2 linked regions of the Drosophila melanogaster genome follow. The protein of the gene in region 1 interacts with the protein of each later gene in a pairwise test. Each region holds a gene or a part of one and is shown in the gene's direction. Other genes may lie near its edges.

Evidence for each region.
Region 2: the proteins of CG9541 (region 1) and CG8774 interact in a two-hybrid assay, tested with the Drosophila melanogaster proteins (one large-scale study listed by BioGRID).

The regions. Positions count from the first base shown.
Region 1 is NT_033779.5:8,971,850-8,979,034, reverse strand, and holds the start of CG9541 (uncharacterized protein), read left to right. Parts: upstream 1-4,058; 5' UTR 4,059-4,103; coding exon 4,104-4,125; intron 4,126-5,498; coding exon 5,499-5,810; intron 5,811-5,975; coding exon 5,976-6,118; intron 6,119-6,497; coding exon 6,498-6,680; intron 6,681-6,752; coding exon 6,753-7,185. Other genes in the region: CG13101 (uncharacterized protein), read left to right, coding at 1-177, 249-368, 431-614, 678-993.
Region 2 is NT_033777.3:13,295,724-13,302,908, forward strand, and holds CG8774 (uncharacterized protein), read left to right. Parts: upstream 1-3,256; 5' UTR 3,257-3,290; coding exon 3,291-3,479; intron 3,480-3,537; coding exon 3,538-3,893; intron 3,894-4,027; coding exon 4,028-4,172; intron 4,173-4,226; coding exon 4,227-4,760; intron 4,761-4,822; coding exon 4,823-5,751; intron 5,752-5,832; coding exon 5,833-6,508; 3' UTR 6,509-6,611; downstream 6,612-7,185. Other genes in the region: CG8773 (uncharacterized protein), read left to right, coding at 1-375, 447-544, 604-921, 986-1,104, 1,170-1,255, 1,335-1,740, 1,799-2,447.

The DNA.
Region 1 (7,185 bases):
TGGCCATGTTCTTTGTGGTCGTGGTAATAATCTCAATGTGGCCAGAAACGGATGATGCAACCAGTTATTGGCTCTACTTTATCTACATGACCAACTGGGGCATATGGATGTGCATGTTGACCAACGTCTTGGGTGCTATTCTAGTCACTATATGGCATTATCATCCAGAATATGCGGGTGAGTACGACATGGCTATATATTATAAGAACAAAACAGTTTGCTAATATGCATGGTTTTATGTACTCCAGATAAACTGTTGAATATGAAGAGCTACTTTAGCTATTTTCGCTTGTACTGGGGTATGCACATCATATCTCTGGTCTTGTCCATCGTCATCACCATCATCTACTGGAGTATTCTATATGATGGTAAGTTATTCTTACACTCAGGTTGCCATATCATATCATTGACTGGTTTGCGTTTCCTTTAGCTAATGAAAGCGCCTTGGATGCCACAAATGTACTCACTCATGCATTCAACTCGATTTGCATGTTCATCGATCTGTGGATTGTAGCTCATCCCCTGCGTTTGCTGCATATATTTCTGCCAGTACTATTCGGAGTTGTGTTTGCCATCTTTTCCTATATCTATCATTTGTGCGGTGGCATTAATAAGTGAGTTTTTATCTATAACCACATAAAATGTGATACGATTTAAAGATATGTCATTCTCTATAGGAAAGGCAAACCTTATATCTACTATGTGATTGACTGGAGCAAACCTCAAAATGCCTTCACCACGGTAGTTGGCGTACTTTTGTTGTCCTGTTGCATTTATGTGCTGCTCTTTGCCTTCTTCAAACTGAGATTATTCCTCCATCGACGCTGTCGAAATGCAAATTTCGTACTGCCCACCAGTGCGAAATCAAATGGTCAAACTAATGGATTAGACGATAAATCCGGAAATGGAATTCAGCACTCACCATCTCGCATATCAATGGTATTGGGCAATTTCGCTGGCTATGAGAATCAGGCTTATTTGCCCACTGGCTAACTGTCGAATAAAGGCTAATCGTTGAAGTGCACAATTTAGTCGGTAGTATTTAGTCAAATCAACTTGTAGAATTTATGACCAGTGATATTATATTATACTGTTTTATGTTAAGTAAATAAATTCGTTCTGCGGAGTATTGTTGCTTAACGGCATTTGAAGGTAAAACCCGGTCTATGTCCTTCGGCGGAATCAATATTTATACTTAAACAAAAAACATGCTTAAGAATTCTGATCAAAAATTCAAATAGTTAAAAGTTCGAAAAGGAAAGCATGAATGTACCCAATAGCCATCGGGGTTTTTCAATTCGTTTGACACGCCCGCCTTTGGGAACTTCACAGTTGATAATTAAGAATTTATATCTGACCATATCAGGATGGCTCAAGGTGCATGGGTATCAAAAAAAAAAAAAAAAGAAATTCTAAGCCAATTAGTAGTGTGGCTGGTTGTACGAGATGTGTAAATATTTTACTCAAGCCCCTAATCACCTTTGAATGGCCGCATTAGGCCCAAATAGGCCCTGAAGGACATTCAGTTCAGAGTTAATAAACCGGCAAGGACTGAAGTAATTCTGATTGTGGGGCATCTATTTATAAATGCTCGCTCAGGTGCCAAGAGATTTTCATTGTTAGTTTCATCCAATTATATAAATAGATCAATTCAACTTAACGGAACCCTTGTTTTTTAAACCAAATGAGTTGTGGCTTAAGTTCAAATTATGACAAAATAATTATTTTACATGACGTACTGGTATATATCATCAATATATATCTCACCCTTTTTTTTCGGATGTGCTCAAATAATTTATTGGACAGCACATATAATTCGATTGTTGGTGTTTTCATAATTTCTCATCCTTTCAACGCACTTTACGCCAACAAAGGGTCTCCTTAGCCAGTGTCCTTAATCACAGATGTTCGGTTCGAGTTGCTTAACCCTAAGTTGGCCGCCCCCGTCTGTCATTGTGTACACACGTTGGCCAAAACGCGTAGCCTTAATTAAGCTTGAAAAGGGGATTTAATAGCCAAAGGACCCGCCCAGAGGGCCCAAGGACGAGCACGGGACACGAGCTGCGGCTGTTCCCCAGTTCCACTGCTGTGGTCATTGCAAGGATTTGCCTTACGCATAAGCTGGAAAAGCAAACCCAGAACTGCTGGTCAGGTGTGGGTTCAATGTCAATTGGTTCGTTGGCTGGTGGTTCGTTTTGGTCAATTCGGCTGTTGTTATCTTTGTTGTTGCCGTCCTTGTGTCGACGGCACATGACATGTCACAAATTCCAAGAAATTAGGCGTCGCATCTGTGGTTGTCCATGGATCGATATGAGACCAATTTGATCGATATGAAGTTTCCTTGAGCTTTGAACTTCTTCGAGTGTCCTTGACGGGTCTATTACACCTGTTCCCTCCGTCCAGTGTCAACTTCAAAAAACCCCCAGCGAATCCAATAGAATTTTAATTGAACACATTTTGGAAATTTTGACAGCTGTCCACACATTGCGTCTAGTCCTCCCCCCTCCCTCCCAAAAAAAAGAGGTATCATTGAACTGCAACCAGAAGTAAACTAAATAATTAACGTCAATTAATAGTGTGAAATATTAATTGAAGGCACGCCCACTGCACATCTAACAGCCCAGTGTTCCAATTCCCAACTACTGTATAAGGAATCCAACCCTATGTCACCACTCGCCGCCCCACGGGATTTATCAATTTGGGGCTCTTGTCACTGTGGGTCGCCATGACTGCGCAATTTATCCGCCATCGATGTCATGAAAGTGATTTACAATGAACACATACCCTATGGCAGACTCATAATGGGTGAACACACTTTCGAAACGAACCAAATGACATTTATCATAACTTCAAATTATAAAAAATATTTAATTATTTATTTATTTAAATTTAGAAAATGAATTTTTTTATAACTTACAAGGAAAGCTTTCAATGTTAAAAAATATCTTATATCCAAACTTATATTGTATATAATTTCGATCATTCAGCAATATTTGCTTAAATGCAGAAATCAATTAGTTTAAATCGAAAATCTTAAGTCTTGGAACTGTAACTATTTTTTTGAACCACATAATCTGGGTGTATATAGTCTCTTGACTTGAACAGCTGCAAGTCTAAGGATTTATTTACACCTATGAAAACGGAAGGCTTACCGCCAACAACAAACGGCATAGACGACAGGACACCAGCACGCCAGCACGGAAAACAAAACAAAAAAAACCTGGAAAATGTTTTAAAAACCATGCCACATACGCGAGAGAGCCCGCACATGTGTGTGCAGGATGTATGAGAAACGCACCGCTGGTTCCAGGACACAGGACACTTTGTTTGGAGCGCATAAACAAATGGCGGCCCATGAATGACACAGACATGTGAGGTGGATTTCTGATGGGGGCACATAGGTATTCTAAGGTCGTGCGTGAGACTTCCAATCGGGCAGGACAAGGAAATCCCGACCACCCACGCCAAACTGGAACTGCATTGGTGGTATGAAACTGCTGGAACCGCTGCTCATAAAGTATTCATTAATTGGAATAGTGACCAGGGGAACCGGTGCTCGTAGAGCTAAAAACCGAGCCAGTTGTCAATTCTGAAACTCAGTTTCGTTTCGGACGTTCGTCGAGTTGTACGTGCTCGGTTTGTTGAACTGCACAACCGCTGAACCGCTGAACTGCTGAACTGTGGCACCGTGTAGCGCACTCGGAAATCGAAAATCGGTACACAAATCGGTCGAGTTCGCGGCTAATGCAGGAATCAAAACACTAAAACCGGCAACGTCATGTAGTTCGTTGTGGTGCGTGTTGCCGACGATAAAGCGCGAGAACAAGTATCCCAGAGATACCAATAATAAATGTACACATATTTATAATATATATCGAGCGAATTTCACTCACGGTAGTCATGGACAGTCGAAGTTATAGAATGCAAAACATTTGTGGAATTCTAAACAATTTCCATTGAGAACTGATCCTTCTTCTACTTTTTATTTTCAACGAGATAATCATTTTAAAGTTGCAAGTGTGTGGGCTAGAGTGTGTGTGGGTGGTGTGCGGTAGGGAAAACACTATTGCGAAAATTCAGCTATACTGGCCACCGAATGGATAATGGGTATTTGTTTAGACACAGGTGAGTAATGCCACATGCAGCAGATTTGTAATCAAAGATTAGCATTGCCTCTCCACGGCCAAAGATAACAAAAAGAACCCTAATGAGTCGCGCAGGCGAACACGACAGGTGAAACACGGTATAGAAACTTCATGGGTTTTTGTGACCACGAATTTTCAATGGCAATCAATTAAAGTCGGTCTACATGTATAGAATAGCTTCTAGCTGATCACTGAAAAATATTAACTATTTTGCAGCATACTTTCGGGATACCATTGTTGGTTACATGAACTATATAAATTTAAAAGCAATATAGGAACAGAAATAAAAATTGACTACAAAATGATCCCCATATCATAACGTAACTCTTTTTAGTCTCGGTGACATATTCAATTGACCACAACTCAAAGGACAGTTTCAATTGAAATTACTGCAATCACTTTGCTTGAAATTTATTGAAAGAAAAAACAATTATCTGTGACAAAACGTTGCTTTTATATGTGTACACCTAGCGTTATATCAAAATCGAGACCTTGCCCAACGGTATAATTTGTATCGGAACTTGGACTCTTTTGGCCTCCATGGCTGCCAGGTCCTTGGACATGTTCGTTGACCACCGAAGCTAGTACACATAAATCCTGAAACTAGCGTCACGCACAAAAACAAAAAGAATAGCGATACAAATGGGGAAATCCCCGAGACGAAAAGGGATAGCAACAATAACAAAACATGTCAATTAAATAAAACTGCAGGAAAATCAATAAAAATGTCACAAGGACTGAACTGGTTCCGCGGGTGGGCAGACGTAAAATTTCTATGGGGAAATTTAGAGGGGTATGTGTACGGTATTGAATGCTATGGAATCGCCATGCTGCAGCTGATTTTCCATGAATGAATTCAGCGGTGACGCCATTCTATACTAAACACGGTTGCCATACAATTAAATAATTGTTAAACATGTTTTAATGATGGGCTTTGCGATTTGTTTCGATCCCTAGCTCCCTTCCACCCATCGAGTGCGTGTGGTTTCTGTCACTAATTTCCTACTCCTGGCAAATTGCTTCCGGCCTCGGTGAAGGCTGGCTAATGGCTAATGCCAACTTGGCACGTTATGTCTGCCCTTGCCTTTTTCCGGTCCCCGGTTTCCTTGCGCTAACTTGCCAACACATCCGGTTTCCGGTTTGAAAAATTTCTGCGCTTTTGCCGAAGTCAACTGTTGCTTCTCCATGGGTTTTAAAAACACTTAACTAATGAGATACAGTCCATTAAATTGCCTGTAAAAATCGGAGAATTGGTATATTATTGCTTTCTATTGAATATTTAATTTAAATTCCGTATTTTAGACCGATTACATTTTATTGTAAATTTAAAATAATTTATTTAAATATAATTAGATGCCAGCGCGGCACAAGATACCGGCGAACCAGGCAACGATTGGAATCTTACACGGAATCGAAATGGCCAAAATGCTGGCGATTTGGAGGCCGCTGCGGCGGCAGGACGATTGGGTTCTACCAATGTCGGCGCTATCGATATGCAAAATGCTGGAAAAATCAAATTCGATCCGCCCAAAGTGCCAGTGATATTTGTTTTAGGCGGCCCCGGTAGTGGCAAGGTCACCCATTGCGATACCTTCATGCAGGAGCGACGCGGTGTAACGCACATCAATATGATGGATCTCCTCCAGCAATATGCAATGGGCAATGGTAAGATATCTGTGGTAAATGAAGACAGAAGGTATATACAAGTATGCTATTGAGGAGAGACAGCTGTTGTTGCAATATAAACTACTTTATAATATAGTGCTGCATACTTTTAGACACTTTCGACGTAATCCGTTGCCAATTGTCTATTAAATGATTTGCCCACAGACATGCAAGACTTTTCACAACTGTCGTCGAAAACAGTCACTGAGGTGCTGATGTTGGAAATGAAAATGGCTCCAGCTGCCAAAGCATACCTGATATCGGGATATCCACGCTCCATGCGCGACGTTGTCGAGTATTCTGAAAAGGTAATTTTCCACGCAACCGACTATTTTTCGCTGTCTTCCCCACCAGCTCACCCAATTATTGTGAAGCCATTTTGATTGCCGCACTCTTTATTTGCCCAGTAAATTGCTGCTGAACTATTTCAACTAATTAACTGGCAAATGAGTCGGCGACAGTGTGTTTATTTGGCCATAATTCCCATGGATTTACGGTGACTCCTATATTATATATGCAAGTGCTAATTGGACAGACTGGGTGCAAACGGCACTTGGGGAGTTTCAAGCACATGGCGTTAACTATGGTATATAGACCTACATATTGCATAAGTAGGACATAACAATTTGGAGTCATAAATAAAAATTAATCTTCTTTGATTGGTTTTTTTTTTCTACTTCCTTTCAGATTCAAGTCGTGAATGGCGTGATTCTTATATCCTGGCGCCAATCGGTTCTACAAAAGCAAATCGATTATGGGGCCAAATTAGGTCATGTAGTACTCTCCTTAGCCAAAATGGAATTAGAAAATTTCTTTAAAAATGTGATGCCAGTCGCCGATTATTTCGATCAGAGCGACATGTTGTTGGCCGTAAGTATTTTGTGCATTGCAATAATGATCATATCAATAATATATGTTAATTGCTTTCTTTTTATTTTACAGGTAAATGGCGAACGTGCGCCCACAGAGGTATACAAAGACTTTCGCACCGCCGTCCTCGATATACTGAGCACCCTCGAGAACCAAGAGGCCGTTATGAATGGAGTTACAGGTATGGGCAGAGGGATACATGATATACCCGGCAGTATAGTTAGCGTAGACACCGCACCAAGTCAAGCCCAACAAGGGACTCAAATTGCAGAAGACAACGACGTTACCAATGCCTCGGAAACTGCGGGAACAGTTTTGGCCAGAGATTTGGCGATCGAACGGATGGATGGTGGGCCAAATGGAGCCGTGACAGCTCTGAAAACGGGCACCACCAGTGCGGACGATGACAGCGGTGTTGTGGTCACTCAGCAGCCAAAGTTGCGCCAGGCTGCTGGACCAGACGAATCCGGATCGGATTTGCCACCTATTATATGGGTGATCGGCG
Region 2 (7,185 bases), on another chromosome or scaffold:
CTTACTTGGCCTGCTTTATTGTCTCCGACTTCGCCTACAAGCAGGTGAGCATTGACACTAAGGGCATTGGAGAAACCTTCTCCATGAGTGTCTACGCCACTCCGGAGCAACTCGACAAAGTGGATCTGGCTGTGACCATTGGCAAGGGAGTCATCGAGTACTACATTGACTACTTCCAAATCGCTTATCCGCTGCCCAAACTCGATATGGCTGCTATTCCCGACTTCGTCTCGGGCGCCATGGAGCACTGGGGATTGGTCACCTACAGGGAAACATCGCTTTTGTACGACGAAGCCACGAGTTCCGCCACCAACAAGCAGCGCATCGCCAGCGTAATTGCCCACGAATTCGCTCACATGTGGTTTGGAAACTTGGGTAAGCTAAATGGCGGTTTGCATAGATCGGAATTCGTATTCTTAACCGTAACTCCAATTATCTTCCATAAGTAACCATGAACTGGTGGAACGATCTGTGGCTAAACGAAGGATTTGCTAGTTTCGTTGAGTACTTGGGCGTAGATGCCGTCTATCCAGAATGGAAAATGGCAAGTGCACCTAGGTTAATTAAGGTTACATCCAACTTATTTACATATCATATCAATAGCGCGATCAATTCACGGTGAGCACTTTGCACAGCGTACTCACCTTGGACGGAACCCTCGGATCCCACCCGATAATCCAGACCGTGGAAAATCCGGACCAGATCACGGAGATTTTCGATACCATCACGTACTCCAAGGGTTCCTCTCTCGTCCGAATGCTGGAGGATTTCCTGGGGGAGACAACCTTCCGCCAGGCGGTTACCAATTATTTAAATGAGTACAAGTACTCCACGGCGGAAACGGGTAACTTCTTTACAGAGATCGACAAACTGGAATTGGGATACAATGTCACAGAGATTATGCTAACATGGACGGTGCAGGTAAACACATAGACGTTTACTTCTAAGTTCGCGAATATTTCAACACCCCATTCCTTTTTTGCAGATGGGTCTGCCAGTGGTCACGATCGAAAAGGTGTCCGATACGGAATACAAATTGACGCAGAAGCGCTTCTTGTCCAATCCAAACGACTATGACGCCGATCACGAGCCCTCGGAATTCAAGTGAGTGTGCAGAACTTATTGCCTGGACGCTATCTGATCGCGAATTTCGCACATACATTATATAGCTACCGTTGGTCGATCCCCATCACATATTTCACCAGCTCGGATTCGGTGGTGCAGCGTCTGTGGTTTTATCATGACCAGAGCGAAAGTAAGTGGTGTCGTCTGTATGCTGGAGCACGGCTCCCCAGATCTTTGATCTCTAACTTGTTATATATTTTGTTTGACAGTCACTGTAACTGTTCCCGCTGCCGTCGAGTGGATTAAGTTTAACGCCGATCAGGTGGGCTATTATCGCGTTAATTACGATACCGATCTGTGGAATGATCTGGCCGATCAGTTGGTGGTACAACCAAGTGCATTCGGCTCTGTGGATCGCGCTCATCTCCTCAACGATGCTTTTGCCCTGGCCGATTCCACTCAGTTGCCCTATGCAACGGCCTTCGAGTTGACCAGATACTTGGACAAGGAGACCGATTATGTTCCCTGGAGTGTGGCTGCTTCCCGTCTGACTTCGCTTAAGAGAACACTCTACTACACCAGCACCTATGCCAAGTACAAGAAGTACGCCACAGCTTTGATTGAGCCCATCTATACCGCACTCACCTGGACAGTCGGCGAGGATCATTTGGATAAGTGGGTAGATTCTTTAAGAGATGTGTGTATTTTTTATATCATTCCCCTGCATCTCTAGCCGCCTTCGTGTCACTGCTTTGAGTGCCGCCTGTTCTCTGGGTCTGGAATCCTGTCTCACTGAAGCCGGAGAGCAGTTCAACGCATGGCTGGCCAAGCCGGAGGATCGTCCAAAGGCCGATGTCCGTGAAACTGTCTACTACTACGGAATACAGTCCGTTGGAAGCCAGGAGGATTGGGATGCAGTCTGGGAGCTGTTCGTCAACGAATCCGATGCCAGCGAGAAGTCCAAACTGATGTATGGCCTGTCTGCCATCCAGATTCCCTGGATTTTGCAGCGCTACATTGACCTGGCGTGGAACGAGGAATACGTGAGGGGTCAGGACTACTTCACCTGCCTTACCTACATCTCTGCGAATCCAGTTGGTGAGTCCCTGGTTTGGGACTATGTCCGGGAGAACTGGCAGCGACTGGTGGACCGATTCGGACTCAACGAGCGTTATTTGGGCAACCTGATTCCCTCGATCACTGCCCGCTTTAGCACCCAAACCAAGCTGGAGGAGATGGAGCAATTCTTCGCCAAATATCCGGAAGCTGGAGCCGGCACAGCTGCCCGGGTGAGAGCTCTGGAAACGGTTAAGAACAACATTGTTTGGCTGGCCGAGAACCTGGAGGGTGTGGACGCCTGGCTGGACAAGCAGCCACTGTAAAAAGTCCAAGGAAGTGGTCTTGCGACCATGGTTACCATTAAACATGTACTCATCTAATTGCCATTATAAAGCAAAAATTTGCCGAACAAGTGGAAATAAAGATAAGCTTAGTTATTGGAAAAACTGAAATTACACCTCCATAAATAAGCAATTATCCATTGGACTGATTGGTAACATGGGTTGATAATCAAGTTTGGGTGGGTGCCACTATTGGACACGAAAACTTTTGATTGACATTTATTGCACGTCCAAATTTTCGCACTAAATTTGACATCCAATGGAAATTTACTTCATATATGATAAACCCCCATTAATTGATTGAAATATAATTTTATAGTTTTATTGTTACGCCTTTTAAATTATCTAAAGTCATTTAAAACTAAAATATTTACCAAATTGAGCAATATACGCAGACTTTTAATCTTTAATAGTTCTATTAAGCAATGAATATGTAAAATAAAAATCTTTTTTCTATTTTTCTCAGTGATGTGGAGAGAATCTAATTAATATGGCTAATTACCAATAGCACAGATTTGCGTTAGGGAAAGAGTAAAAGTGGCTTAAATGATGTTATTAAACCCATAGCACAATTATGGTGTCATAAGCCACGCGAATTCATACCCTACCGCTCCGTATTTTCCCACTTTCTCTGGCTTTAACCCTATCGCCCATTTGACCGTAATCGCGTCAATTTGGCCAATCACTATCGCAATCGCCGAAGCGAACATAAACCATTTCCAGTGCACACACTATCAACTAATCGAATATTGGGCAACAAGTGGTAAGAGTTGGTTCGAATGACCTAACGCTAGTTAGTCGCTCGCGACAGGTGCGATTGCTAAGATGTTCCTCAGTGGCTATTGGTTGCAGGTGGTGCTCTCCTGGGCGGTGGTGGCCTTTGCCACGGCCACGGTTGTGGTGGCGGTGCAGAAGGCTCAGCTGGAAAGGGACCTCCGCGATGTGCAGGACAAGATCGATGTGTTCGAGGAGTGGAGCGGAGAGAGCCGCACTCGCATGAAGCGTGAAGATACGGTGTGTAATCACTTGCTAATCAGTTGAATCCATTTACTACCATAATCTAACCCTGAAGACGGATTACCGCCTGCCCACGAATCTGGTGCCCACGCACTACGAGCTCTACTGGCATCCGGATCTGGAGACAGGAAACTTCACCGGACAACAGAGGATCAGCATCAAGGTGGTGGAGGCCACTAATCAGATTATTCTGCACTCATATCTCCTGGATATCACAAGTGTCTATGTGCTGAATAGAGAGGTGGAAAAGTTTGAGCTTGAGGAGGAACGTCAGTTCCTGATCATAACTTTGACGGAAGAGCTGGCGGTGGACGCCAGCATTACTCTCGGAATCATTTTTGGTGGACAGATGAAGGATAAGCTTGTGGGTCTCTACAGCAGTACATATCTAAACGAGGCAGGAGCTACCAGGTATTTCGGATATTTTTACGTTATGCCCAAAAGTATGCAATGTGTTCTTATGACCAGATCTGGATTTGTTGTTTTGTTTTGAATTTTTATTTGAATACTTTTTCAATATATAAATTAATATTTTCCTTATGCAGAACCATTTCTACGACGAAATTCGAACCCACTTACGCGCGTCAGGCCTTCCCATGCTTCGATGAACCAGCCATGAAGGCCACATTCGCCATTACAGTGGTTCATCCATCGGGATCCTACCACGCCGTTTCCAACATGCAACAAACGGTGAGCTCAAGTAAACAAACAATTTAAATGGGTTAAACAAAATTTAAATAATAGGAATCCAATTATCTGGGTGACTATACTGAGGCCATCTTCGAGACGAGTGTGTCGATGAGCACCTACCTGGTATGCATCATTGTGTCCGACTTCGCTTCCCAATCGACCACGGTGAAGGCCAACGGAATTGGCGAGGACTTCTCCATGCAAGCCTATGCCACCTCGCATCAGATCAACAAGGTCGAGTTTGCTCTGGAGTTCGGACAAGCTGTCACGGAGTACTATATTCAGTACTATAAGGTGCCCTATCCGCTGACCAAACTGGACATGGCCGCCATTCCCGACTTTGCATCTGGGGCCATGGAGCACTGGGGATTGGTGACTTACAGAGAGACCGCTCTGCTGTACGATCCCAGTTACAGTTCCACAGCGAACAAACAATCGATAGCCGGAACACTGGCCCATGAGATTGCACACCAGTGGTTCGGAAACCTGGTCACCATGAAGTGGTGGAACGATCTGTGGCTGAACGAGGGATTCGCCCGCTACATGCAGTACAAGGGAGTCAATGCTGTGCACCCGGACTGGGGAATGGTAAGGAAATGGATAATACCGATTTGAATCCTCAAAGAAAATATCTTATATTTACCAATCAGCTGGAGCAATTCCAAATCGTGGCCCTGCAACCCGTGTTGTTATACGATGCCAAGCTATCATCCCATCCGATTGTCCAGAAGGTAGAAAGCCCCGATGAAATTACGGCCATATTCGACACCATCAGTTACGAAAAGGGAGGATCCGTGATCCGCATGCTGGAGACACTTGTGGGCGCCGAAAAGTTTGAGGAGGCGGTGACCAATTACCTGGTCAAGCATCAGTTCAATAACACGGTGACCGACGATTTCCTCACCGAAGTCGAAGCTGTGGTAACTGACTTGGATATCAAGAAACTGATGCTCACCTGGACCGAACAGATGGGTTATCCGGTGTTGAATGTCTCCAAGGTTGCAGATGGTAGTTTTAAGGTTACCCAGCAGCGATTCCTCTCCAATCCAGCCAGTTACGAGGAAGCCCCTTCAGATAGCGCATACGGATACAAATGGAGTGTTCCGATTACCTGGTTTGCTGATGATGGTTCAGAGAACAGCTTCATATACGACTACGATGTGGACTCTGTGGGTATTGCCGTGCCCAGCGAGGTGCAGTGGATCAAGTTGAATGTCAACCAAACGGGCTACTATCGGGTTAACTACGAGGAGAGCCTGTGGGCCCTGCTCATCCAGCAGCTAACCACCAGTCCCGCTCGATTCGAAATCGCCGATCGTGGCCATCTTTTGAACGATGCCTTCGCCCTGGCGGATGCCAACCAACTATCCTACAAAATTCCTCTGGATATGACCGCTTACTTGGCCCAGGAGCGCGACTTCGTGCCCTGGTATGTGGCCTCCAATAAGCTGAGGTCGCTCCATCGCAGTCTCATGTTCAGCGAGGGATACGTGTCGTACCTCACCTATGCCAGAAGTCTGATCGCTGGCGTATACGAGGAGGTGGGTTGGACTGTGGACGCCGACAATCACTTGAAGAAGTACGTATATAAGTACCAACTTGTTTTTCTGAAAACATTACTCAAACTACTGTTATTCAAACAATCTTTATTCCTTTGCAGCCGCCTGCGTGTTTCCATTTTGACCGCCGCCTGTGCCCTGGGTGTTCCAGATTGTCTGCAGCAGGCTTCCGAGCGCTTCAGCACCTTCCTGGAGAATCCGACCACTCGACCTTCCCCCGATCTTCGCGAGATTGTCTACTACTACGGCATGCAGCAGTCCACCAGCCAATCGAGCTGGGATCAGTTGTTCCAACTCTTTGTGGCCGAAACCGATGCCAGCGAGAAACTGAAGCTGATGTACGGATTGTCTGGCGTACGGAACAGCCAGTATCTGTTCGACTTCCTGGCACAGGCCTCCAGTGATGAGAGCATCGTTCGCTCCCAGGACTATTTCACCTGTGTGCAGTACATAGCCGCCAATCCTGTGGGTGAACCGGTGGTCTGGGAATTCTACCGCGAACAGTGGCCCCAACTCACCACCCGTTTTGGCCTGAACAACCGCAACTTTGGACGACTTATCGCCCAGATTACGGCCAACTTTGCCAGCTCCGTGAAACTGGAGGAGGTTCAGCACTTCTTCTCCAAGTACCCCGAATCGGGAGCTGGAGCTAACTCCCGGTTGGAGGCCGTGGAAACCATCAAGTACAACATCGAATGGCTATCCAGAAACGAAGCTGACATCACCGACTGGCTAAGTGGAACGGCCTCGCCGCTGACCAAGAAAAACCAATTGTAAAATTGTATATTGTATATAAACTGGCCATTTAGCCAATAATTAGAGTTGCATAAGCGAAAATTCCGTTCGAGTTCAATAAAATGAAATTTCAAAATCAAACCATAAATACAACCCCCATATTTTCATTCATTTTATCCGAGGCAAGTGGGGATTTCTATAGCTTCTAGGAAATAATTGGAGATAGGGTCTTTGAGTATATGGTCAATGCGGAATCATGACCATGCGTAATTATCCTGAGTAATTAGAGTGTCCAGTCATAATAGTCGATATATGGCCTTGTTCGAATCGTAAAAGTAATGGTCTAGCATAAAACGATTTTATCTGGACACGAAGCTATATAGTATATAGTCTAGATATCGGTCAGCAATCTGATCAGGTTTATCAAGTCCAAATTGTGGGGTCAGATTCGCAACTTGCATTCAGTTTCCAATTTGGCTTCCAGCCTAGTGGAAGCAGTCGAGTAATTTTCATCGAAAAAAGAATATCCCTAAAAATGGTTGCCTGTGAGTCTTCTATATAGAGTAGCATATCCCGAAGGAACAGTAACTAATGTGAACTCATTTTAGGGCTGACGGTTAAGTCAGTGGCCATCTTTTTGGGCCTGGCCTCTACTGCTTTTTGTGTGGCCACGATTGTGCTGGCCGTTCAGAATGCGGACCTGGAGAACGATCTGCAGG